Oryzias latipes: one gene and its partners. The protein of the gene in region 1 purifies or fractionates together with the protein of each later gene. This does not show direct contact. Links are inferred from orthologs where the notes say so. Each region holds a gene or a part of one and is shown in the gene's direction. Other genes may lie near its edges. The genes, in order: ift57, ift74, ift172, traf3ip1, ift46, ift20 and ift88.

Region 1 (4,144 bases):
GCAGATGGAAGTGGGAGCAGCGGCAGGACGCCTCCTCCACTCCTGCGTTCGCTCGCGTGTTCTGTCACGCGTGAACACTAAAGCTATTACTGTTTGTACCTCTTCAGAGGATTATTTCCTACATTTTGTCTCCAGATGCAGAAGATGTTTTTAAAAGGAGGAAAGACATGAAGAGACTTTTCCATTTGAGAAACGTCTCACTGAAAGGACGTCGGGCCTCTTCAGCCTGACGCAGAGACGCTCTCCGTGACAAGTGTTACTCATCTTACTGTGTCAATAAAGTTCTGCAAGTTAAACGCTGTATGATGAACAAATGTGTTTCTACTTAAAAACACCGAAGTTAAAGGTTTGAACTCCTTACAAACTTATTGGCAAACTGACAAACACCCACAATCCATTATAGGAAAAACTTTTTTGGGGAATTGTTTTGGAATTTAATTAGATTATGAGGTTCTGTGCAAAAACGAAACACCCCCCCCCCCCCCCCCAAAAAAAAAAAAACCATATGCATTTAATTGTAAAGGAATTTAATCAAAGTTTAAAGGTGACATTATCTGTTTATTATCTTTTATCTATATGTAGAGATTTTGCTTCCTTTAAAAAAAAGAATTCCATTTAATTTTGCTTTCGTACCTTTTTTCTTTTTGTCAATAAGTGTATTAAAAAAGAAACAAGCACAATGATGGGTGTTATACTGTAATGATTATGCACCCCGTCAACCTTTTTCTAAAAGAAATCTTCAAAATAAATGTGAAAATAAAAAAGTTTGTCCAAAAAATATGTACCCAAAATTATGACAGTATTGGTCAAAATTATAAGGAAAGAAAAACACAGACACCCTGTTGGCAAAAAAAAAACCCAAAAAACGTATTTAATAATAATGCCTGAGCAGCATCATAAAACATTAAAGAAAAAATCAATTTAATCTGAAAATATCTTAATTCCAATGTCCTTGTAAATTTACAGCTGACCCTTCAGTTTCAAAATACCTTACATTTTAAGTTCCTTCTACATACCTAAAAAAAATGAAGTAGTTTTAACGGGTTTTTTTGGAATTTTTTTTCCCCACTATCAGCAGGTTGTTAAACATTTGTATTTTCATTTTGCTCCTTTCACTTTAGAATAACAGAAAGATGATGCACTTTAACTTTAAGCCTTTTAGATGGCTCCATGCACTGTTGGACATAAATTACCTTCTTTTTTAATCTGAGATTAAGATAGTACAATCAAAATAACAGTAGAATTTCTTGCATGGTGTATTTGTGTACAAATGCCTCAGTAAATGCAAAAAGGATATTTTCATTTTAAGAACAAAATCCCAGTCCCAATATTCAGGTCCCTCTCCCGCCCTCTAGGGGGCGATGTTTGACTCTATATTCTAGCAGAAGAAGAGATCAAACTCAAGTTAGCAAACAAATCTACCAAGTTTCTTATGCTAAGGACGGAGCCCTCGAACTTGGTCACACCCATTCTGTTTTCCAGACAGTTTGAATGTTGTTTTGTTGCTGTTGAGCAAATTCTCAATGCGCATATTTAAAGTTTAAAGGGAGGAAAAAGAAATACGTGTTAAGAAAAGGGCTACTTAGCTTTCGGTTGCTAGGCAACGGGCCTACAGTCAACCTGAGCTAGCAGAGCAGCGTGTGCTAATCGAACAAACAAGGCCCCAGAAAACATTTATTTTTTTAGTGGATTTTAAAGCGGTTTGAAAAGTAGCTGGGCTCATGGCAGAGGAGGATGAGCGGGGCCCGGGAGCCGCTCACCGGATGGTGTCGGTGATGGAGGGACTGTTAGAAAAGCTCGACGCTCTGAACTACGAGGAGCTTCTGGACAAACACAACATGAAGAAAGTGTGCAGGTCAGGAACGAAACGAGCCAAATGACGGGTTTAAGCTGAATTTCAGCTCCCTGAAGACGACGTTTTGAAGCAGAACACGATAAGAAGCAGTGATGATATCTGCCGGAACAGAGCTAATAGAACAGAACCTGAGCTGGACCGTCGATTGTGTTAAATGAAAAAAACAAAGACAAAAGTTGAAAACAGCTTTGATCACATTTTGTACTTTTCCCGAGCACTAAATCTTTATTTTTATACAATTTTAAATCAATTTTAAATACACTTAAGAAAATAGCAGTAAGTCTACAAATAAATGCCTAAAGTGTAATACATCTTTCCAGACTGCTTATTATTGAAGTTGTCTTCCTAAATGTGTTTCATTTCAAACATGATCTGATCTTGTGATTCATGTATCTTCTTCCTTCTCTTCCCAGGCACTACTTTGTCTCCAACTCCCACCTGTCCTCCAATCCGGGTGAGCAGTTTTACATGTTCACCATCATCGCTGCCTGGCTCATCAACGTGGCAGGGAGGCCGTTCACCGAACCCCGGGAGCACGACGAGCCCAACGCCACCGTGTCCAACATCCTGGCGGAGCTGAGAGCCTTTGTGAGCTGCTGTTTCACATGCAGATGATCCAATATGTCCCTTTCTGTGTGACTTAGACTCTGATCTCAGATGTGTGAGGACGACCTCTGACTGTGACCCTGGTGGGTTTCAGGGCGTAAAGGTGGACTTCCCTCCCTCCAAATTGAAGACGGGCTCAGGCGAGCACGTCTGCTTGGTGTTGGACCGACTGGCCGACGAGGCTTTGAAGAGGAGAAACTTCTCCTTCAAAAGGTGCTTCTGCTCTGCTTTACGCTGGGACATCTTTTGGGCCAGACACGGGTTCTAGGCTGGTACTGGAGCCAGTTCAAGACTGGAATGAATGAAGCAGTTTTACAGCTGCAAGGTTGGAGTGTCTTTCTTCTTGGGTCCCAACAATACCGGTTGTGGTCAGAAGTCAGTTTGGTTAAGTTCAGGCCGCCACACCTTAAAGATCTCCGATTAAAATTGTGTTTGTGGTGTTTTTAATGTTTTGTGGCATTTTTCTCATTATAGAAGACCTATATGAAGAAAGTAAAGCATAAAATGACCTTCCTGAAGCTGCAATATGGCTCCCCATATTTTGTTGTACCGGTGATGTTAGGTTGGGGATGTGAGGGACTGTAAGCTAGTGGAAGAGAGTGTAAAACAAAGGGATGATGGGAAATGAGGACAGGCTTTCTCTGCCCCAATAGTCCCCCCCACAACTTAAAGGTGTATTTCTAATGAACTGTTGCTGCTCTGCAGAAACGATATCCTAGTAAAGGACACTTTTTTTTTTTTAATTTTGGCTAAAATCTGCACCATCATAATTAAAAAAACACTGGGGGACACTTTTACAGTACATCAGATAGATCACTGTGGTGGGACTTTACAGATTTGACAACAGCGAGGCCTCACTGGCTGCTCCAGTTTGAGATGAAGTGTTCTTCTCCCTCCTCCCCTTTAGGCCAGATTACCCGTCAGAAACCCCGGAGGAAGAGTCGATGCTGGAGGACGATGCAGAAGTCACACTCAGCACAGCAGAGGAGGAAATATTGGTCAGCACTTCACAGAGAAAAATGCTGACAGCTTATTTCAACGCCGCTTTTGCAAAAACTGGTGTCCTTTTTGTTTTTCATTCTTGTATTTGATTTTTTAAAAGATTGTTTTCTAATTGTGACTTCAGGAGGAAGATGAGGATGAGGAGGAAATTGCGATGGATCTGGAGTCTCTGAAGTTGCGGAACTTCCACAATGTGAGAAAAACTTGTCTTTATACAGACAAGAGAGAGCACTCCCATTGACTGTAGATGAGAGCTGGACTGAGTGACTCCGCCCCCCCCCCCCCCCCCCCTCGCGTTCCTAATAGGAAGGACCCGCTGGCTCCAAGAAGCCAAAGACTTCCATCGATAAATAAACAACTCTTACTCAGTCATTCTATGTGTCAGGATGACCATTATTGCTCTGATACCTTTTTAATATGTTCTTCATAATCCAAATTTTTTCCCTCTGATATTTCTTCTATGATTCAATTTATTCAAGTTATAAACCGACCAATCAGGTGCCTCAATAAAAGCATGTGTCCTGACATTGAACGTTCAAAACGTTTGACAGATTCTCCCGAGCCGGCTTTAAAGTGCTAGGGGTGTGGACTTCCACAAGCTCACTCCTGATTGGCGAGAGTGGTTGCCATAGAAATGATGACTTTGATCGATTCGGTCCTACCACTCTGACGTCCTTTGGT
Region 2 (3,500 bases), on another chromosome or scaffold:
CGCGGAACTCCGGCCGTCCTCCGGACCTGCCTCGCCGGACGGCGCGGAACCCCGGCCGTCCTCCTGACTCCTTGGACTCTTATGCCCGTCGAGGTTTGACCTCCGGGGCCCCCCCCTCAGTTGACTTTGGGAACCTCGGAGCGGTTCCTTGAGGGGGGGGTACTGTCATGGTTTGAGTTTCTTTTGTATTGGTTTTTGCTTTCTGTCTTGTTCTGTCATGGTTAAGTTCTGTTTCCTGTTTTATTTTGAAAGGTTTCCTGTCTTGTCTTGTGTCGTGAGTTTTACTTCCTTTGGTCCCCATCTGCCCTGATTGTGTTCACCTGTGTCTTGTCTGCCCTGTCTGTATATAAGTTCTGTCTCTACCTTCCTCCTGTGCTGGTCCATTAACTTCTGGTCGTGTGTTTAACGTCTTCATGTGTCTTCGTCCTGTTCATGCCATGTTTCATGCCACGCCACAGTGAGTTTTGCTTTGTCATCCTGCTCTGCAGCGCTTTTTGTTCTAATTAAACCCCTTGCCCTTGACCCCGTTTGCCTCCCGTCTCTGAGCTTGGGTCCTACCGGCTCTCGAGCCACCCCTGCACATGACAGTTTTAGCTCATTAGTTAGCCAGTTCCAAGTCCTTAATGGCAAGTCAAACTGGGGGTTTGAATGACAAATCATGATGCTCCAATTAGTCTTAGCTTCTTGATTAAGAAGTGAATAACTAGCTGCCAGAATGTACCAGAATGCATCTAAGACCATGTATTTTACAAAAATTTCGCTCCGCGCCCGCCATATCGCTCAAAGAAAAGTTCAGGGATTTTTTCCTTGCCCGGCTTTCATCACTGTAGATACTAACCTAATATATTGTCACCGCGGCAAGTGTGTGTGTTGGGGAGCAAACATTTTCTTTTTCCTAGAGGGGGCCTTGCAAAAAATAATTGAGAAGCACTGAATTATAGAGTCATTTCGCTCCGGTGAGCACCATGTCAGCTGAGAAAAGCCTCCTATGGAGGGCAAACTGTTCCAACACAGTCCATATTGCAGAGTCCCCACCTGTCCTGCTGAGGGGCAAGGTTCTCTGGCAGCCTTGTGGATGAACCTTTTCCTTTCAGGGGAGCATCTTAAAGCACATGCAGACGCTCCCATGCAGGGTTGAGTACATTCAGAGATTTTGATCTCCCAGACACACACATCCAGTCAGCTGACCTTTAAAATTATCAAAAGTCAACAAATGTGTGTGTGCTGATAGATCTTGAGCTGTCACAGGCAGTCACAGACACTAAAGGTAAATCAATTTGCTTTTGCCAAAGATGTTGAAATATAAATTTATCAGAAGGCTTCAGTTTATTTCAAAATCATCAACTGAGCTACTCCAGAACATCCACACAGTCAACCGGTTTATTCTGCTAAAAAGAAAAAAGGAGCTGGATCTTCTCTAAAATGAGAATAAAAGAAGACACTTACCTCCACTCTCTGAGGTGAACCCCTTTCACCTGTTGCTCAAAAGCAGCCAGCACAGCAGTGACCTTTGTTCCTTGTATAAGATTCCACCGACTGCTCCTGCTAGCTAACCATTTATGATCCATCAACGCCGTTCCTCACTTTCCTTCTTATTCAGCTTATTTAGCTGTTGAGCTTTTAGTTTAAAAAAAACTTAAATATATTAAAAGGAGTCATTGTGTTTATTTATATAAGGATCCCTGAGTTTCAGACAAACCAAATGCCGGAAAAGCTGTAAAAGACTGAAGAGGTGAGAAGGAGGAAATGTCCACGAGGAACAAGAAGTAGAAAGTATACCTTTGCACTTTATGGCAGTGCTACACGTACTCTGATAGGGCTGCTTGCGACATGAAATACATGAAATGTGTTCTGTGTCAGTATACAAGCAAGAAGTTATAAAACCTGCCTTATCTGAACACTTTGATGAAAAAATTAAATCCTATCATTCTCTCATCCATGTTTCGAATTTGAATGTTTCATATCCGCCTGCTTCTTTACATGTAGCTCAAAAGCACTGTTCTCCACCGCTGTAGGAGAGAGGAGCAGATCAAGGCCATTGAGGAGGAGATCAAGAAGGAGCGACAGATCGCAGACAGAGTCGTTCAGTCAATGCCCACTGCCAAACAAGAGAAGTACTTCAGTATGGCGGCGACCAATGAGCAGCTGCTGCAGGTACAACTGTCATTTTGATGACAAAGGGGTGTGGCCTGCATCTGTCTCATGTGCACATATAGAGGAATGGCACAAATCCACATTTGGACTTCATTTTTCTTCTGCCTTTGTGTGGAAATTTCACCCTATGGCTTCCACAGAAAATTGCGTTTTTTAACAAGTTCTTGTGGCATTTTTCTTATTATGGATGATACATAGAACAGAATTTAAGATTATTTAGAGTATTTCTTCATTCAAATAGTTGTGAATCAAGAGCACACAAGAAGTGCCTTTCGAAAAAGATCTCTTTTGTGACAGCCGCTGAAATGCACTCTAAAAAGAAAAAAGTTGATCCAATTTAATTGAATTACTTCAATTGGTAACACCAGAGCCAGTTTAGCTCGTGCTGGTTTGCGGCGCCTTCCATCCGTGAAACCCGGGTTCGACTCCGGGCTGCTCCCTGTTCCCTTCTCTACCTCTGCCGGTTCCAAGCCCGGTTTGAGAAGGTTGCGTCAGGAAGGGCATCCGGCGTAAAACATTGCCAAATTTACCATGCGACTTGTTCGCTGTGGCGACCCCTGATGGGAGAAGCTGAAAGTGGAAGAAGACTTCAATTGGTAACACCTAATTGAATTAAGTTTATTCAACTTAAGTTTTTATGTCTATCCAACTCAATGTTATTACATTGAGTTGGATAGACATTTAAGTTCATTTAAGTTAAACTTAAATGAATCATTTCAATTGGTAACACGTAATTGAATTAAGTTTATTCAACTTAATTTTTATGGCTATCCAATTCAATTTGATAAATTGATCTAACTTAAATTTAAAAAAAATTAAATTTTGTTTATACAATTAAAATTGACAGATTTTTCTTAAGTTTCAACCAATGGTCCTTGTAATTTTCATATCAAAGACAAGCATGCCCCAGCGATGTCTCGCATTACAAGGCAGGAAATCATGTGTAAAGATATCTGTCTTTAATATTGGGACATACAGTGTTTTACCGCACAAGGGGGTTGGTCATCATCCTCTACCAAACTCTAACTCATGGTATAGAAATAAATAAACATAACAGTTTAAATTACTAGTTCAAACAGCGTAAAACAGCTAGACAACAAAACCCATGGACAAAAACTCACACTTAAACCCCAATCTGCCCAGACAGGCAAAAAAAATGGTATCCCACAATTGCTCGCACTGCCTTTCGTTATGACGTCATGACTTGATAGCTTCACGCCAAAGTTACACCAACTTAATTTAATTAAGTTGATCGTGTTATTTTTAAGTTAAATGAACTATTAAAAATATTTATTTTCACCAAACTAAATAATTAAGTTACATCTACGTAAAAAAGTTTATCTTTC
Region 3 (3,979 bases), on another chromosome or scaffold:
TTACGAGATTTAAAGTCGTAAATTTAAGACTTTCCCCCCAAGTCATCGTAAATTTTCTACTCTTTTCTCAAGATTTAACGTCGTAAATGTACAAGATTAAAGTCGGAGTGAGTCTACAGTCCATCGAGTGAAGGCCGCGCAGCCGCAGAGCAGACCGACCAAACAGTTCGGTAAAGTCAGAAAGATCTTCACAGATTCGGACTTCCGGCCTCAATAACTCTTCTGATAAACGTTCAAATGTGACAGCAAGTATCTCAATCCCTTTGTATTAACCCAGAGAGTGAACTACAAACGCATTTCAAAAGAAAGAAGATGTTTTTTGCCTTTTGATAAGAATTGTTCTCTTCGAGGTGTGAATGCAGACATGCAGCGAGCTGGCTGCCAAGGGACCGTCAACAAGTTTTTTATGTCTTAGAGTGCCTGATGTCAACAGATTTCTCTGTCTTTGTTAGTACAGCCCATCAGAAATTATGAACCCAATGCACCACTGCTGTACCTTTCAATTTGGGTTTGGGTTACGTTTTTCTCATAAATGTAGGACTTTAATTTACAGTTTGTGAACTGGCACAAATATGTCCTAGTTAAGAAACAGAAACAGGAATTTTACTTGGCAAATGGACAGTCATAAACACATAGGAGTTTAAATGGTACAGAAGGCATCACGGTTAAGGCGTGTATAGTGTACACCTGTCAGGTCATTGCGCACATGTGTCCATTTAAAATCTATATTTCTCTTAATCATGTCCGTGGAAGGGGATGTAGCTCAGTGGTAGAGCGCATGCTTTGCATGTATGAGGCCCCGGGTTCAATCCCCGGCATCTCCATGGATCGTTTTTTCTTTAACACGGTAAATCCATGTTGCTCTCGTACTTGTTGCACTTTTGAACTCCGCGATAGATCATACTTTTTTATTTTACTCGCGGATTACCATATCACCGTTTTTTTCTTGGCACTTTTAGCTCTTGTTCCTCGTTTTAGCATTAAACACGGGTGCAACAGTATCGTGCAACCGTTTGACATTCTTAAGATTTCATGTTGCGTTAAATTACGACTTCTTTTGCTTTTGGTATAAATAAATAATAAAAACTGACCATTATGAAAAAAAGGAAATCCCATTTCCAGGTAGTCTGCTGGGAGATGTTTATTTTTTCCAACGGACCCAAATGCACCAGGATTCCCCGCCCCCCCCCAACGGTAACCAAGGAGACGGGCGTCATGCTCCCTCGATGCTAACGGATTGAAAAGGTTTCTTCAAGCGTCATTTAGACACAAAAATGATTTTGAAGCACATTAAGACGCTTTTACCACCGCAGGTGAGTTTTCGGCAGTCTTTATGGTCGCTTTGGTGAGCTGGGTTGCTGTAAGGACTCATATTTCGACGTTTGGGTTGTTGTAAATTAGACTCGAGAAATGTTGAGTCCTCGCGCTGGTTTAGCTCTCTGAAGTCTCGGTTAAGCGTTTTTAAACGTCTGAACTGATGAGACGAGCTTCGCCCGGTCCCTCAGTCTGTCGGAGCAGCCCTAGTTGTTTTTTGTGCATCTCGCAGGAAAAGGTGGCGAAGCTGCCGTGCTTGGCGTGGGCTCCGAACAACAACAAGGTGGCCGTGTGCACCCCCGACAGGGTGGTGCTGCTGTACGACGAGCAGGGGGAGAGGAGGGACAAGTTCTCCACCAAACCGGTGGACCCCAAGGTGAGACACGTCCCGCCGGCGTGGGAAACCCCCCCGAAAAAACGGTTAATCTGTGAGGTCATTCATGACGTCACTGTCTGTACTGTTAGGGTTCACAGAGAGACTAGTGTGTTGCTCCTTTATCTACAGTTTATTTGAATCGATCTTTATTTATACAGCAGTTAACAACAATATGGAGTTCATTCGTCTCAATATTCAGAAATGCACACACGTTTCATCTGATTCACACACGTTTCACACATGCGCAATAGGTGTTTCTCACGAATGTGCACGCTGTTTCACAAAAACACAATAAATGTTTCAGAATCACAATAGGTTGTGAATCAAAGCGTGTGTGTTTGTAAAACAGTTTGTGTGCAGTTCTAATTATTGAGGCTGAATTAATTCCATAACACCTTCGGCGTTGTTGTGACTTTATATGATGTTGCTCCGAGTTACCTTTTCAGTAAAAATGGGCTAGAAGGAAAACAAAAAATGTAGCAAATTAAGATAAAATATTTAAAAACAACACTTCAAAACTACACCAGGCAGTTAAATAGACAAGACAAAATAATTTTAAAAAATTAATAAAACAATTAGAAAAAATATATAACTCAGAATTAAAGACCCACTCCGAGGAAAATTTAATTTTTAGTTCTTTTTTTTTGTTCACGTGGCATTTTTTTGAAGATGGACAACATTTATACCTAATCTAGGCTCATAACTGTATTTCTGACTATTTCTTTATTTCACTTTTTGTGAGTCAGCATCAGATGAAAAAATGTATTCTAAAAAAGATTGTATTTGTGATGTAGAGGCAACAATGGGCGGGGCCTCAAGCTCCCTGCTCCGCCCCATTCTGATTTATTCACTGTCAGACAAATAGATCCATGAACGTCTTTGTTTTCCTGGTCTGATCTGGAATCTGGATCAGAACTGCACGGATGGGTCTGAGGCGCTGTAAGCTAGCAGGGCAGACTGTAAACGGGTAGATGATGGGAAGTGGGGGCAGAGTTGCTCCATGCCAGCAGTCAGAGGTGAATTTCTGATGAACTCCTGCTGCTCTGCAGGTTTGTAGATTTTGGCTAAAAACAGCATCATCATAATTAAAAGAGCACTGGGAGCGCCGTGAGCATGGACCAGACTGGAGGGGGCCGGTCTGAAAACAGCTGAATGTAACCTCCTCACCATCATTCCTGCATGTTTATGAAGCCCCTCTAACTGGGGGGCTTTCCTGGTCTTTCTGCCGGCCCTGATAATAACCTGCTGGTGTAGTTTGCGTTCCTGCAGTGAACTTTTCAAATGTCCCGTTTTGTCAGTATGGGAAGGACAGCTACGCCGTCACAGCCATGGCGTTCTCCCCAGACTCCACCAAAATCGCCATCGGCCAGTCCGACAACATCATCTTCGTCTACAAGATCGGGGAGGATTGGTACGAGCCGCGGTGTCCGCCCTGCTGTCGTTTGCTGCTCGTCTGGTGGTGACGGCTGTCTGTGTCTTTCACAGGGGAGACAAGAAGACCATCTGCAACAAGTTTGTTCAAACGGTAAGAAGAGACGCTGAAACCAGAACCCAATCGTCTTCAAGCTGCACTTCTGATCCACTTTGCAGAACTTTAGTGAGGAAGAGTGCATCACTTTAGTCTGGCAGAGGCTGTAAGGGTCCAAGCTGATCAGAACCACAGAGTTTTGGTTTCTCTGGTTAAATTGCAGGTGATCGAATCTGGTCCAGGATGGTAGTGTTGCATTAGTGGGTGGTGTCACATGGGGGAGGGGTTGACCACTGCATGCTGGGAAAACTGCTTTGGGTGGTTCTTTTAGCAGGACACAGAGCAGGCGAGTGCAGCAGCGGCGAGGACCGTTCCGTGCAGCCATGGTGAGTCTCCTCCCTGAAGTCTCTGTCCCGCCTTTATTCGCAGACCTTCGTGACCTGCCTGCTTTGGCCCGAGGAGCACAGCATCGTTTACGGGCTGGCTGACGGGCGGGTAGGTCGCCACAACATCCTTAACAAACCATCCTCATGTGGAAGACACACATTTATTTACTACGATGAAGAAGCTTTGAAGTGATGGCGTGAAGTTTCAGTTTAGGAAATAAAACATTTCCAGAGTAAAACGCTCTTTTCCTCAGGTGCGTCTTGCTGACACCCTCACCAACAAATCCTCCACCATCTACAACACGGAGTCCTTCGTGGTCTCTCTGACCTCCAGGTAAGCGCCGCGCTCACGCTCGTGGCCCCCGGGGGCTTCAGCTCGGTCATCTCCGCTGTGTATCAGTGTCTCCGGTAGCGGCGTCCTGTCGGGGCATCACG
Region 4 (3,500 bases), on another chromosome or scaffold:
AACCACTGCAGAACCTTGGAATGCGCTTTACGTATCCACTCCTTTGTTGAAAAGCTGTATCTAGATTTTACTCCTTTAATGTAAGTTCAATCTCTGCAGGTTTACAAAGAAGAGATTTGGGTATATCTGAAGTTTCTATCATTTATAGAGAGTCTAGGACTTTGCAGTACATTAAGTGATCCTAAAGTCCCTTTTGCTAACACAGGATCTGTGGAGATCTAGCATTATAATCTGACTAACGCTCCACATGTTCTACTGACAGATGAAGATCCACGTTTTGCCCAAAGTTCACATCCTCAGGAAAATGGGAACACTGTGGGATCCTCCATGTCATCTGACATCAACAACAGGTCTGTTCACTTCATACATTACACTTTGACCTGCCATCACTCAAGGGACACATGTAAACATCTCACAACCCAAACTTTGATTTGTTTGAAAGAAACTCCCAGAGTACATATTTGCTTATTTTCTGTTTTATTTTTCCCTTTGTAATTATGTATTTTTATGGTAAATCAGTAGGCTGATGGCCCGACCGGGCAGTGCACGGTTTCGTGTCAGGAGACAAGAGAGTCATGCTGACGCCCCCCCATCAGAGAGGTAAACCTGACGTCACTCGTGGCATCCAGTACTCACGGTTTTCACGTTTATTCTTAAATGGCGTATACTTATATAGCGCATTTCAAGGCCCAAAGCGCTTTACAGTCACATTCACTCAGACACACACATTCACACACACACATTCACACACTGGTGGCGGCTCTGCTGCCGAACACTGGCGCCAACCTCCCACCAGAGTCAAGGTGGGGTTCAGTGTCTCTCATGGGCGTGCAAGGCGGGAATCGAACCTGCAATTTCATTATGGGTCGACCGCCCCACCGCTGCACCACGGCCGCCCGATTCTTAGTGTTTGTCCTACTGAAAAGTAATCAACCAAATAAATTAGAAGCAGGTTCAGAAAACACTGTCTAAAATGCGCTTGTAAATAAGCGAAGCTCCTGTTTTGAAGGCTGTCAAGTGCCAAGCCCAGAGCACCTGTCATCATGGACGGGAAGAAGATGTCAGACGATGAGGAGGAGGATGACGAGCAATTCCTCGTGGAGGAGGCACCCCCTCCACCCCTCAGCGTTCCTGAGAGCGATCGAGTAGGTGCCTCACATGTCAGTTTGAACATAGGGAGACTGTTTGGATTCTTATTTCTTTATTTTTTATTTCCCGTTCACAGGAACCCGCTCGAGAACTGGACAGTGAGGAGGAGCACGGTACACCGTCAGACGTTTCTGCTTCTCCTTTCAAAGCACAGCGTGCCACGTTTACCTCAGAAATTGAATGTTTCTGTTTCTGTCTCCCCAGGGGGCCTGGTGAAAAAAATCCTTGAGGTCAAGAAGAACCACGAACTGCCCCATTCCTCCCTCAGATCTAAAGAACAGGTTTGTGGACGGTGTAGTCTTTCTGTCTCCACTAGAGGGCAGTACGGGTTCTAGTTCTTTAAGTTTTGTCATTTGTTTGAGCTTTTCTCTCTGTGAACTTTGCTTCCAATGAACCAGTAGCGGTTTTAGGCACGGGCCATACGGGCGATCGCCCGGGGCGGAAAAATGACGGAGGGGCGGCGCCAGCGGCTCAGCTCTTGTAAAATACTTTATGCATCACTATTGGTTTACTTATATCACAGAGTTTGTAACAGCCTGAAACCTGGCGGCGCCCCCGCCCCGCAGCTGCGCTCCCTGCTGTCTTTGAGAAGTAGACGCAAATGTGTGTGAGAAGGAGAAGGGAGGGGGCGCGGGGTGAAGAAGGAGAAGGGAGGGGGCGCGGGGTGAAGGGTGCAGGCTGAGGTGAGCACGGAGCACAAAACGCATGCGCAAACCTGGCTGGATCTTCTTCCAGGGGGGCAACGGTCGCGGGCCGCGGCTCAGTGCTTCATGAAAAAATAAAAATAAAAATTGCGCCGCCATGTAGCGAATTGGCGCCCCTGGGTGCAGCTGCACGCGCTCCTGCTGGAAATGTTTGACGAACGGGAGGGGGGGGGGCTGCGGGTATAAAAAAAGTATAAAAAAATCATGCTTTTTTGGTTATTTCAAATAAAAAATGGGGAAACAAAAAAAAAATTCTTCACTTAGATGACAGTTGGTTTAGTCGACAGACTTGATACCTATGTCAGGACATTTAGGCTAAATGCAAAAACATCTGAAATATGGAGAAAAAAGGTCAAAGCTGGTGCCCAATTTAGAAAGAAAAGAGAAGAAGAGGAGAAAAGAGACAAAGAAAAGGGTATTATCGCATAGCTAGATGCACGTTTTCTAAATTCGAATGCTACCTGCCCTACAACAACAACAACGTTGCAGAGGAAAAATCTCTTGTTTGGTCTATCATGACCAAAACTGAAGTAGGCCCAAATATTGCAAATAACGTCATTTTTAAGATATTTATTCTTAAATGTTTGCTCTGCCTTAACTTGTAACATTAGTTATGATTCGTGTGTCTGTCTGCTCTGCTGTAACACAAAGTTTTTGTTGTGTTTTATTGTTGTATATTAGTTCATAATGTTAAATAAGCTGTGATGGTAGCATGCTGCTGCTGCTGCTGCTGCTGCTGCTGCTGTTAGCTTTTCAAAACTCCAGTTGATCAAGTCATACCTGAGATCACCAATGTCTCAGGAGCAACTCACTAACCTGCTGTTGTTAGTATCAATCATTCAGGGGGGGGAGCAGATTTCATTTGATGACGTTATTGACAAGCTTGCATCAGGAAGGCCACAAAGGTTAGGTTTTAGTTAGTGTTTTCTGTTCTTAGTGCTGCAGTTACATTTATTCTAGTGTATTATTAGTGTGATTTGTAGTTTATAATATTTATTTCAGATTGTTTGTGTTTATTAAATATTTCCTAACTGTATTTTCAGTTACAATAAATGGACAAAGTGACTCTATGGGGGGGGGGCGCTAGAGGAGGGCCTCGCCCGGGGAGTAATTCAGGGTAGAACCGCCACTGCAATGAACCCTTTCCAACCAAGTGCAACATTGGCATTTACTTAAAAAAAAAATGAAAAAAAAGGTAAACAAACAGAGTAAAGAGGTGTAATTGCAGTTCCCTGAAACCTCAGAAATGTTCTCCTCCAGTGAAGCTGAATTGCTTATAACCAGACAGGTTAGCATGGCCCCTAACAAACCACACACAATTGATACACACATCTAGATGTCTGGAGCAAAAGGAGCTTGTTTCCTTGGGTTGCTCAACTTTGAGGTATGCCTATTTATTTTCTTCATTTATATTCTCGTTAGAGACTTTCCTGTTTTGTGAAAAAGTATTTGACATCTTGGGAACAAAGTTTCTTTGTATTCATCCTTTTTTCTCTGTGAGGACTATACAGGAAAGGACATTTTTTCCCCTCTGTTACAAATATTTTTTCAGGACTACAGTTCCTGCTGGTTTCGCGAAAATTTCCAGGAGGAAATATATAGAATTGTAACTTGGACCCATTATAAGAGAAGAACCACACAGGAAAT
Region 5 (2,867 bases), on another chromosome or scaffold:
ACACACACACCTGTAGACACACACCTGTAGACACACACATGCAGACACACACCTGTAGACACACACACACCTGTAGACACACACACACCTGAAGACACACCTGTAGACACACACACACCTGTAGACACACACACCTGCAGACGCACACCTGCAGACATACACACACCTGTAGACACACACCTGCAGACACACACCTGCAGACACACACATGTAGACACACACACACCTGTGTAGACACACACACACCTGTGTAGACACACACACACCTGTAGACACAAACCTGCAGACACACACCTGCAGACACACACACCTGTAGACACACACACACCTGTGTAGACACACACACACCTGTAGACACACACCTGCAGACACACACCTGTAGACACACACACACCTGTAGACACACACACCTGTAGACACACACACGTGTAGACACACACACACCTGTAGACACACACCTGCAGACACACACCTGCAGACACACACCTGTAGACAAACACATGCAGACACACACTTGTAGACACACACCTGTAGACACACACACACCTGTAGACACACACCTGTAGACACACACACACCTGTAGACACACACACCTGTTGACACACACCTGTAGACACACACCTGTAGACACACACACACCTGTAGACACACACCTGTAGACACACACACCTGTAGACACACACCTGTAGACACACACCTGTAGACACACACATGCAGACACACACCTGTAGACACACACACACCTGTAGACACACACACCTGAAGACACACCTGTAGACACACACACCTGTAGACACACACATCTGTAGACACACACCTGTAGACACACACATGCAGACACACACATGCAGACACACACCTGCAGACACACACACACCTGTAGACACACACACACACCTGCAGACACACACCAGTAGACACACACACACCTGTAGACACACACACACCTGCAGACACACACCAGTAGACACACACACACCTGTAGACACACACACACCTGCAGACACACTCCTGCAGACACACACATGCAGACACACACATGCAGACACACACCTGCAGACACACACACACCTGCAGACACACACATGCAGACACACACCTGCAGACACACACCTGCAGACCCACACCTGTAGACACACACCTGCAGACCCACACCTGTAGACCCACACCTGCAGACCCACACCTGTAGACACACACATGCAGACACACATCAGTAGACACACACACACCTGTAGACACACACCTGCAGACACACTCCTGCAGACACACACACACACCTGCAGACACACTCCTGCAGACACACACCTGCAGACCCACACCTGCAGACACACTCCTGCAGACACACACACACACCTGCAGACACACACCTGTAGACACACACCTGCAGACACACTCCTGCAGACACACACACACACCTGCAGACACACTCCTGCAGACACACACCTGCAGACCCACACCTGCAGACCCACACCTGTAGACACACACCTGCAGACCCACACCTGTAGACACACACCTGCAGACCCACACCTGTAGACCCACACCTGCAGACCCACACCTGTAGACACACACATGCAGACACACATCAGTAGACACACACACACCTGTAGACACACACCTGCAGACCCACACCTGTAGACACACACACACACACCTGCAAACACACACCTGTAGACACACACACACACACCTGCAAACACACACCTGTAGACACACACATGCAGACACACACCTGTAGACACACACACGACTGTGAGTTGTCTTGAGTCGTGTTCTGGAGGGTGACCCGGTCTGTTCTGGTCCTGACCTCTGACCCCTCCCCCTCAGATGCAGAAGGTGGCGAGCGTGTCCAGCCCCCACACCAACCCGCGGGCCGTGGACAGCTGGGTGGACAGCATCAGCGCCCTGCACCGCTCCAAGCCCCCCGCCAGCGTGCACTACAGCCACCCAATGCCCGACATCGACAGCCTGATGCAGGAGTGGCCCCCCGAGATGGAGGAGCAGCTGGGCCGCCTGCAGCCGCCCCCCGCCCACCTGTCCTGCAGCCTGGGGGAGTACGTGGACGTGGCGTGCGGCCTGCTGGACATCCCCGTGTACAGCGGCAGGATCCAGTCCCTGCACCTGCTGTTCAGCCTCTACCTGGAGTTCAGGGACTCTCTGCACTTCACCAGCAGGGGGTGAGGGGGCGGGGCCACCCCATCCATGTCCTCCTCCCTCACTACCCATGGAGGGGGTCTCCAGGAAAGCCCCACCTGTGAGCTCTGGTACCTGTTACCGGGTTCTGACAGGAGCCCAGTTTTTCCAGAACCTGGTCTTAGTTCTGATCTTCTGCTGCTTCTGCTCCTGAATAAACTGAATGCTTAACTGTCGTCCTCAGACTCTGATTGTTCTGGTTTGTCCGTTCAAATCCCACTCTGATCCTCTTCTGGTCTGTTTTCCCAGCATTCCTTGTGGTCTTTAAGTGATGATGACGTTTTCAGCCTGTCGTTTTCTAGGACATAGTTTCTGCAGAGCAGGGGGTTATTCCAGAAAGCAGGTTATGCTAGCTCCCACGGTAAATTTGAGGCTAAGGAAGTTGATAACTTCAGTTTTCGGTTCCAGAAATGGAGGTATGTTTCAGGGTATGTCAAGTTGCCATAGCAACTCATGCTCTGAACATAACACATCCGGAGCAGGCTTAGTTGAAGGTTAGTTGGGTAGGTGCAAGTTGAATTAATTTAAGTTGGATAAGTTATATATGTAACCCTTGTTCTATCCTGGGCACTTTACCATTGGGAGTTGGGTCATCTAGACCCACTAGACAGTGCTCTGAACCTTTTTTCTTCAATGATTTGTGATCTTGGGCGGCCGTGGTGCAGCGGTAGGGTGG
Region 6 (4,253 bases), on another chromosome or scaffold:
CAGGCAACTGAGCCATCCCTCCTATACAGAGACGGAGAGCTATATCTGGGTGGAGGTTTAGTGAAGGTAGTGGAAGTCCATGTGGGTGATTATGTACCTGGAGGAGTTTAGAGGCTGGGTACTTCAGCTTTTAGGCAACAGTGCCAATAAAGTCCAGGTAAGAACAAACCAGGTAAATCGTCCACCAATCCACACCATGAGATAATCCAGTGCAGAGCAGTAATAACAATAAAAACAAAAAATCTAACAGTGAGCAGCAGCTACAAGACATATCAGGATGAAAGCTTCCTGATCTATCTGAGAAGCCTCCAACTACATTGACATGAACCTGAGCCAGCTTCACAATCCGCCTCAGCTGAGCATGTTTGTAGCTATTAACAACTCCAGCAGCACTCAGTAGTTCTCCGATTCCCCCCCCCCCCCCCCAGCCATAAAACTCCTCCATGTTTTCCATGAAAGGCCTAATTAACAAATGCATAATTTTTTTTTCTATCTCCTGCAGTGGAAGTCTCAGAGAAGAACTAGGGGATGAACAGATACAGGATGAAAGGTTTTGACGGAAAGGTGTAATATCTGAGTAATGCTGCAAAAAGGGGACTTTTGGGACAGTGTTCTTTAATAAAGCGTTTAAATGATACTGATAGTTGTTGATCTGATTTTCTAGTTTTTTCCTGCTTAAGAAAGTTTTTTATGCAGGAAAACATACTCTGAATGGGATATATTTTTTCTTTAGTGTTTGTATTAGTTTTAAATTTAACACAGCCCATAAACACCTTGATAAAAATCTACGATTTTAAGGTATGTACTACTGATGAAAGCATGTGTGCATCCTCTTTGTATGTTACACTTGTATTGATTTTGTGTCATATCTTGCATGTGACAAATTTGCAATTGGTCAAGAAGGGGAAAAGAGAGATGTCAGTTGTGCATTTTTTCCAAAAAAAAACATAAAACAGTATTCCATGCTTTCATTACATCCCCGTTGGATCACTGTAACAATGTATCTCAGGCAGATGGGCTCCCCTCTGGCGCCTCCAGCTGGTCTAGATAGCTGCTGCTCATTTCCACTTGAAGTTTCAGTGAAGCCACATCATCCATGTCTGTACATTTTAAAGTGTTCTTATGAGTGAACGAAAATGTCTTTTAAAAAATGTCTTATCATCTCAATTCATAAAGAACTAGTTGGTTCTTTGAGCTTATCTCTTCATCCAGTCATGACGTTTGAACTTGCGAAAGGAACCAGACTTGTCTAAACTTCTACCGCTGGGTGGGTCTACCTACTGGGGTGTTTAGCCTAACCTGGTTTAACTATGAGGATGAACCTGATGATTGCACGCGCACATGGTGGCTTTAAAACTGACTGTAAATTGATTCTTGTTTTTAAATGAACGATAATATCAGAAACACGTGAAAAAGACTTCTCGAGAATGTGTACCACCAGAGGTCGGCGGTAAGCTAGTGCGCACGCGTAGTGGCGCTTTGTGCGGTTGCCTTGGTAGCAGGAGGAGGAAGAGGCGGAACGTCTTAGTAGGACCCCTTATGAGGAGGACCGGAGCCGTGCAGAGTAACGTCAGGGGTTTATTAAGGTGAGTGTCCGTTTCCACAACCAAAGTTTAGTTTACTATTCTTTACGAATGGTTAACGGAGGCTAACAGCTGTTAATTTGTCATCTCCTACGTATTAGCTCGTTAGCTGTTAGCCGCAAAAAATCGAAGAGGGGAAAAAAAGATGGTTGAGAGGTTCATACAACGTGTACAAACACTTCTGCCAAAGTCTGAGACTGTGGAGCTCCAAGTTTAGAGGCATTTTTTGAGGTCGCCGGGACAGAAAAACTCAACGTTCTTGTTTACTCAGATCTAGTCTGAGTTTGTTGCTTATTTATTCATTTATTTTTGACGTATTTTCTTACTGTAGTGTAGAAAATCGATGCTTGTGACGTCACCCATAGATTTTTTTTTAAAGAAAACTTTATTATCTAAAATACACAAACAATGTGTGCAGATTAGTCACCAAAACAATTCTTGTGGCATGGATTACAGCTTTGAACGGCGCGATAATCATTTAACGTGGTTAAAAACATGAAGGGGGGTTGTTTAGGTGTAAATGTAGAAATTAAAATAAATAATCTTCATTCATTGAATTGGTGCTAAATGGACTAAGATTCACAATAAAGATGAAAACAATTTGTACAGTAACACTACCCCCCCCCCCCCCCCCCGAAACCAGGAAGTACCCAACACTGCAGTGCTATGAAAGACCGCTGGAGGCAGCATTTCACTAATTTTAATGTTTAAAAGTCTAGCCCAGCTCAAAAACTAAACAATGTATATTTTGTTTCTGACGCTTTTTGGATGTAGAGAGGGTATAACAGAGCCACACAATTACGCAAACTGCCACAAACACTTCATTATTATTGTTATTATTATTATTAATCAGATTAATCCATCCTGAACTCATCTGTTCAGGGGGGATGGAGGTTGGACTGCACCAAGGATCAGCTTTAATCCTTTTTGTTTGCTGTAGTGCTAGACAGACTGACAGAAGGACTGACAGGAATCTCTGTGGAGCGTGATGTCTGCAGATGACCTGTGGATCTGTAGTGAGCGCAGGGAGCAGAAGGAGGAACACTTTAGAGAGGTAAAGGTTTGTTCAGGAAAGGAGAGGAATGAAGGTTAGCTCCAGAAAGACTGAATGTGTAAATGAGAGGAACTAAAGAGGAACGGTGAGGTTACAGGGAGCAGAGGAGAAGAAGGTGGAGGACTTTAAATACATAGCTCAGAGGTGAAGAGGCGTGTGGAAGCAAATTGGAATGGGTGTAATTTGTGTGTTATTTTTATTTGCTAAAACGTTATTTTTGTAAAAGCTTTTAAGCGCAATTTTAGAGTTTTGAATTTAAATAAACATCTGTTTATGCGGTTTCGGAATGTTGGACAGACATCTTCATTCCTCCATTTGTTTCTGAAAACTTTTAACACTGACTGAAGGTCTGTTCATAAGCTTCCAAGTACATAATACTATGGTAAATTATATTATTTTGTCCTACTGGACTGGACTAAAGTAATGCAGTTGCGGAATTTATCTGTTGTGTTAAAGAAATAGACAAGCCAAAATGCAAAGCTTTCAAATTACTTCTCAATCTTTGTCCTGTAAGGCAGTAATTGTATCTTTCTAAACTCCTGCTGGTTGTTAACAGTCCATAACTGGACTTGTGGCTGACGCTAGACATCACTGGACTGTATCAGCATGTTTGGTAACTCTGGTACGGTCAGTAAAGTATTATGGTGAATGGAAGAAACGGTAAGCATCAGTCCCAAGTCCTTCAGTGTCCGTTACATCCAAAAGGATAAAGTCAAATCTAGCCTACATACATTCATCCATATGTGAAACAACTCTTTATAATAATTTTTTCATTTTAAAAGATGTTTTTTTTCTTTTTAGACTTTATAAAGAGTGTTTATCATTGTGGATCAAACTCCTGCGTCTGTCAGGTGGTTAAACTGGTGCTGAGTGTTTGAGGAGTTTTGGAAATAACACAATATTTGACCCACAGGAGACTCCATGGCTAAAGATCCGTTGGCTGAAGCTGGCTTCCACTTTGACGAGGTAAACAAGCTGCGGGTTCTAGAGCCAGATGTGAGCCAGAGCACGGCGGAGCTGAAGGAGGAGTGCAGAGAGTTTGTGGACAGTAAGAATCCACGGATCTGTTGTCCACCCCGTCCCACCCAAAGCTCCTATAGGTCTGTGTCTCTGCAGAGATCGGACAATTCCAGAAGATTGTGGGCGGTCTCATCAGCACAGTGGACGGGTTGGCCAAGGAGGCGGAGACTGAAAAGATGAAGGTGAGGCTCCCCTCTTCTCAGGTTAGGTCAAAACCTACAGTTCATCAGTGTTGGCAGTTATAGTTACCCAGTACTTAATCCTATAAGTAATAGATTTAACCAGTTGAATTATTCTATAATAAAAGTAACCAATTTTAGCAGGAAAAAACTATTTACTTCACATTAAAGAAAAACTGTTTTTTGTAGATTTTTTGGACCAGTTTTAACAATTCAATTGGAATGAGTAAAATAGACCCAAACTTTTATTTAACATTATTTACATTGGAGGAACTCCAACACCTTCTGGTAAGCTGCCCAGTTTCCTCCTGACAGACATGTTGTGGTGGAAAAGCTGCTGGAGCTGCGTTTGATTTACTGTTTTTAGTTTATGTCAAACATTCAGTAACCCGATCAAACAAAAACTGCTCCTCATTG
Region 7 (3,500 bases), on another chromosome or scaffold:
GACCGGAGTAGATCGCACTGTGTTCGTTATTTTAACCCTTTTTGATCTTTTTTTCTACTTTACAGTTTGCTCTATGAATTTATTGATATGTTTGTGATTATACTAAACAGAAATTTCACAATAAACCTGGTACTGTCCAAAACCTCAATGCCAAATGGTAAATTAGTGCATATTTTGCTGGAAAAAAAATCAAAAAAAAAAATCAAACAGTTTTTATCTTTAAAAACAAAAAATCAAACATGTAAAGGCAAAATAAAAATGTATAAATCCACAAGGAATGCAAAGAAAAGGTCAAAACAATGTGAAAAATCTATCAAATAAATGGCAAAATCCCACTGAACTACAGTACATACAACTTTCAATGATAAATTCCTAGTATCACATTTATGTGTCGTAACTCTTGTTATGCTTGTTGCAATACAAAAATTCCAAAGCTTCAATCTTTTTAAAACCTTAATGTTGAATTTTGAATTTCATTCTGAGTTTCCTTGCTGTGTTATTGTAAACAGTTGATGCGGTTGGCAAATTCACTAGTGAGTTGAGGGTCGGCTGAGGGTTGAGACAGTTGTTCTCTTTTTTCTTCTTCAAGTACTGTCATTTGATACAACCACAATTCATTTGTTTAATTTTTCATCACAAAACTGTTGATCAAAGCTCCTGAGTTTACATTTTCTCCTCCATGTCAGCTTCAAGTCTTTGTTTTGTTTTTTTCATTTCTTTCCCAACTGGATGAAAAAGAATGAGGGATGTCTGCCTTCTGCATTAATCATCTCCTTTAAGCTGTTGGGATTTATCACCTAGACAAGATGTAGTTTATTTATTTATTTATTTATATTTATATATTTATTTACAAAAGCTAAAGGATTTCTGCACACCATCCAGACTTCCAAAAAAAAAATGTATCTTTTCAATGATGGGCAGGGTTGCTCTACACCAAGGTCCTGCCCACAAATGTCTAATAAACTGCTGCTGCTCTACAAAAACTATGTTCCAGAATAGAGCACCATTTTATTTTTATTTTGGCTAAATAACCCCCAAATTAAAAGATCACTGGAAACGTTTTAAAATAGCTCAAACGATGATTGAAGTGGATCTTTAATGGTTCAGAATGAAATAGAGTCGTTGAAATTATCCGTTTAGTTTATTGTTTGCTGTTTTTGGCAATAATATTTACATAGATGCTCTGGTACTATCATAGATCATAACAGTGAGCAGAAAAATATGTGTCTTATATTACTTTTTGATAAAAAAAAGAAATGTAAAATTATTTTTACATTATAGGAAATATCCAACCATCCTGCAATGAAATATTGAATACCTGCTAAAGGGTAAAGGCCTGTTTTATGCAAAAATCCCTTTCGGGGTCACGGGGGTTGCCTGTCCCGGCTTCTGTTGGGCGAAGACGGGGTACAAACTGAACAGGTCGATAGTCTGGAGCAGGGCATGCAAGCACTCCCGTACACAATCACACATGTACACCTAGGGACACTTTAGCACTACCAATTAACCTGCATTGTGGGAGGAAGCCAGAGTGACAGAGTGCAGAAAACCCATAAATAAAGGCTTGAATAGGAATTCACAAGTAACTCATCAGTTTTTCCTTGATCCAAATCTTTTAGTAAAATGAGCAAACCTGGTTTTGAATGAGAAAAATGATCAAATAGAAGTTTAGTTGACTAATGACTCAGTGGGTTTGAATGGATTTGATTGAACCGTTTGGCTTATGGGCCTCAAAGGGTTCTAAAATTTGACACAAGGGCCAGAAGGCATGGAGTGATTTGGTCATCCACCTCATAGGAGAAAGAAAAAACATGGAGTTTGGATGAAAACATGCTTCAATTTTCAATTTTAAGGTTGTGAACATTTCAACTGTTGCTCTTTAAGAACCAAAAACATGTCTCCATTGTAGACTTTGTTTTTGAAGTGGATAAAATTGTTAGAAATGGAATTTCTGTTTTGAAAGAAATATCTTAAAAAATCTATTTTGACAGTAGGAACGTAATAAAATCTTATTTTTAATTTTTTTTTAAATGAAGTGTTTGTTAAATTTTTGCAAGTAAACTATAGAAGAGTTTTCTCTTCATATGCTGATGTGTTTAGAAGCTTTCATTCTTTTGGTGTTCTAGTTGTAGAAGATCTATCTAAAAGGGAAAATGCTCATACTTGGTTTATATTGTTAATCAAATTCATCTGGATGAGAAAAAAAGAAAAAAAACCCTGTTTCTGATCAACTGGTTGTTGTATGTTGTGTAATCAGGCAGTGGAAACACTGAAGACTTTTGAGAAAAAGGACAGCAGAGTGAAGAGCGTTGCAGCTACAAATCTCTCCTTCATCTATTTCCTGGTAAAAGTCTTTTTAAATATCAAAAGTGTTTTTTTATGTGGGGATCTAATCGTTTTCTCTGTTTCTGTAACCTGTTTGACCCCTTCCAGGAGAAAGATTACGACCAAGCTGATCGATACGCAGATCTTGCTATGAACGCTAACCGCTACAACCCTGCTGCTCTCGTCAATAAGGGAAATACAGTGTTTGTCAAGCAGGATTATGAAAAGGCTGCAGAGTTCTTCAAAGAAGCTCTGAAGAATGATTCCTCCTGCACTGAAGGCCTTTACAACCTGGGTAATACTGGAGCTCTTCATGGAGAACTAAAACAGTGACAATTCACTTCATTTCAATAATAACTAAGTGGACTTGTGTTGAAACAGTTTACAGCCTTTATTACCAAAAGACATAATGATGAGTACGGAAATATGGCACAGCAGTTTCTGTTTGTCATACATTGTTTGTGATACATATTTTTGATCACCCAGATTAGAGAAAGACTCCTGTCAGCCTAAACGTCTTTTCTTAACGCCTTAGTCGGGTAGATACAGGCTGTCTGCGAATGAAAAATGGCCAAACCTGTCCAGGACATGCAGGTGGCTCGCAGGAAGTTTTTCAGTCAGCCTGTACAGAGAAAACTTTCATGCACATTTTTTTTGCAACGGGCATGCTGCAGAGTGTCAGGTAGTAGAACATTTAAACAAAATGTAAGGGTAATATAGGTTGGACGCAAGCCTGATGTCCAGATCTTTAATTTTTTCAAGCTCACTAAAACCTGTGCACTGCACAAAGAGCCCATTAGTGCTGTTCATGTGATAAGTGTGCGCTCCTTCTGAGCAGTCTGTGTGTTAGGAATAAGGAAAGTAGACAATCAGAGCTTAGTGTGTGAGGACATCCTAAAGGGCATCTTAATGGCACTTATGTTTCTACTACATGGCTCTTGCAAGCTGGATTTTCACGCTCAGTAATGAGCCAGTTTGCATACCTTACTATTGACTAGAGTGTGATATAAGTGCACCACCGTACGACAGCATCATTCATATGTCATTAGTGTGGGCAACTGACATTGTCCTTAAGAGTACTTCACAATACACTTACCACACACACAGCAATGGTACATTCTACTTCCATGACGTCCCTTGTGACCCTGCACAGGCCTAGACAACCCAAAAACCCA

Evidence for each region.
Region 2: the proteins of ift57 (region 1) and ift74 purify together in Homo sapiens (affinity purification with mass spectrometry; 3 studies listed by BioGRID and IntAct, counting the BioPlex papers as one, with this or other methods). This does not show direct contact. The link is inferred for Oryzias latipes from reciprocal best matches to the Homo sapiens genes IFT57 and IFT74.
Region 3: the proteins of ift57 (region 1) and ift172 purify together in Homo sapiens (affinity purification with mass spectrometry; 3 studies listed by BioGRID and IntAct, counting the BioPlex papers as one, with this or other methods). This does not show direct contact. The link is inferred for Oryzias latipes from reciprocal best matches to the Homo sapiens genes IFT57 and IFT172.
Region 4: the proteins of ift57 (region 1) and traf3ip1 purify together in Homo sapiens (affinity purification with mass spectrometry; 3 studies listed by BioGRID and IntAct, counting the BioPlex papers as one, with this or other methods). This does not show direct contact. The link is inferred for Oryzias latipes from reciprocal best matches to the Homo sapiens genes IFT57 and TRAF3IP1.
Region 5: the proteins of ift57 (region 1) and ift46 purify together in Homo sapiens (affinity purification with mass spectrometry; 3 studies listed by BioGRID and IntAct, counting the BioPlex papers as one, with this or other methods). This does not show direct contact. The link is inferred for Oryzias latipes from reciprocal best matches to the Homo sapiens genes IFT57 and IFT46.
Region 6: the proteins of ift57 (region 1) and ift20 purify together in Homo sapiens (affinity purification with mass spectrometry; 3 studies listed by BioGRID and IntAct, counting the BioPlex papers as one, with this or other methods). This does not show direct contact. The link is inferred for Oryzias latipes from reciprocal best matches to the Homo sapiens genes IFT57 and IFT20.
Region 7: the proteins of ift57 (region 1) and ift88 purify together in Homo sapiens (affinity purification with mass spectrometry; 3 studies listed by BioGRID and IntAct, counting the BioPlex papers as one, with this or other methods). This does not show direct contact. The link is inferred for Oryzias latipes from reciprocal best matches to the Homo sapiens genes IFT57 and IFT88.

What each region holds. Positions count from the first base shown.
Region 1 is NC_019875.2:10,101,821-10,105,964, reverse strand, and holds the start of ift57 (intraflagellar transport protein 57 homolog), read left to right. Parts: upstream 1-1,344; 5' UTR 1,345-1,721; coding exon 1,722-1,855; intron 1,856-2,268; coding exon 2,269-2,443; intron 2,444-2,555; coding exon 2,556-2,674; intron 2,675-3,368; coding exon 3,369-3,459; intron 3,460-3,587; coding exon 3,588-3,656; intron 3,657-4,144. UniProt on the Homo sapiens protein: Required for the formation of cilia. Plays an indirect role in sonic hedgehog signaling, cilia being required for all activity of the hedgehog pathway.
Region 2 is NC_019878.2:5,915,709-5,919,208, forward strand, and holds part of ift74 (intraflagellar transport protein 74 homolog), read left to right. Parts: intron 1-1,035; exon of another isoform or gene 1,036-1,320; intron 1,321-1,446; coding exon of another isoform or gene 1,447-1,568; exon of another isoform or gene 1,569-1,969; intron 1,970-2,015; coding exon 2,016-2,154; intron 2,155-3,500. Other genes in the region: leucine-rich repeat-containing protein 19, read right to left, coding at 1,447-1,568. UniProt on the Homo sapiens protein: Component of the intraflagellar transport (IFT) complex B: together with IFT81, forms a tubulin-binding module that specifically mediates transport of tubulin within the cilium. Binds beta-tubulin via its basic region. Required for ciliogenesis.
Region 3 is NC_019882.2:1,041,181-1,045,159, reverse strand, and holds the start of ift172 (intraflagellar transport protein 172 homolog), read left to right. Parts: upstream 1-1,179; 5' UTR 1,180-1,274; coding exon 1,275-1,313; intron 1,314-1,546; coding exon 1,547-1,690; intron 1,691-2,988; coding exon 2,989-3,101; intron 3,102-3,175; coding exon 3,176-3,215; intron 3,216-3,587; coding exon 3,588-3,653; intron 3,654-3,798; coding exon 3,799-3,878; intron 3,879-3,944; coding exon 3,945-3,979. UniProt on the Homo sapiens protein: Required for the maintenance and formation of cilia. Plays an indirect role in hedgehog (Hh) signaling, cilia being required for all activity of the hedgehog pathway.
Region 4 is NC_019879.2:26,415,032-26,418,531, reverse strand, and holds part of traf3ip1 (TRAF3-interacting protein 1), read left to right. Parts: intron 1-262; coding exon 263-350; intron 351-519; coding exon 520-600; intron 601-1,009; coding exon 1,010-1,145; intron 1,146-1,225; coding exon 1,226-1,262; intron 1,263-1,353; coding exon 1,354-1,430; intron 1,431-3,500.
Region 5 is NC_019876.2:246,288-249,154, reverse strand, and holds the end of ift46 (intraflagellar transport protein 46 homolog), read left to right. Parts: intron 1-1,825; coding exon 1,826-2,179; 3' UTR 2,180-2,367; downstream 2,368-2,867. UniProt on the Homo sapiens protein: Forms part of a complex involved in intraflagellar transport (IFT), the bi-directional movement of particles required for the assembly, maintenance and functioning of primary cilia. May play a role in chondrocyte maturation and skeletogenesis.
Region 6 is NC_019871.2:17,867,075-17,871,327, forward strand, and holds the start of ift20 (intraflagellar transport protein 20 homolog), read left to right. Parts: upstream 1-1,453; 5' UTR 1,454-1,586; intron 1,587-2,523; exon of another isoform or gene 2,524-2,637; intron 2,638-3,550; 5' UTR 3,551-3,558; coding exon 3,559-3,685; intron 3,686-3,753; coding exon 3,754-3,839; intron 3,840-4,253. UniProt on the Homo sapiens protein: Part of intraflagellar transport (IFT) particles involved in ciliary process assembly. May play a role in the trafficking of ciliary membrane proteins from the Golgi complex to the cilium.
Region 7 is NC_019879.2:11,385,552-11,389,051, reverse strand, and holds part of ift88 (intraflagellar transport protein 88 homolog), read left to right. Parts: intron 1-2,257; coding exon 2,258-2,344; intron 2,345-2,433; coding exon 2,434-2,620; intron 2,621-3,500. UniProt on the Homo sapiens protein: Positively regulates primary cilium biogenesis. Also involved in autophagy since it is required for trafficking of ATG16L and the expansion of the autophagic compartment.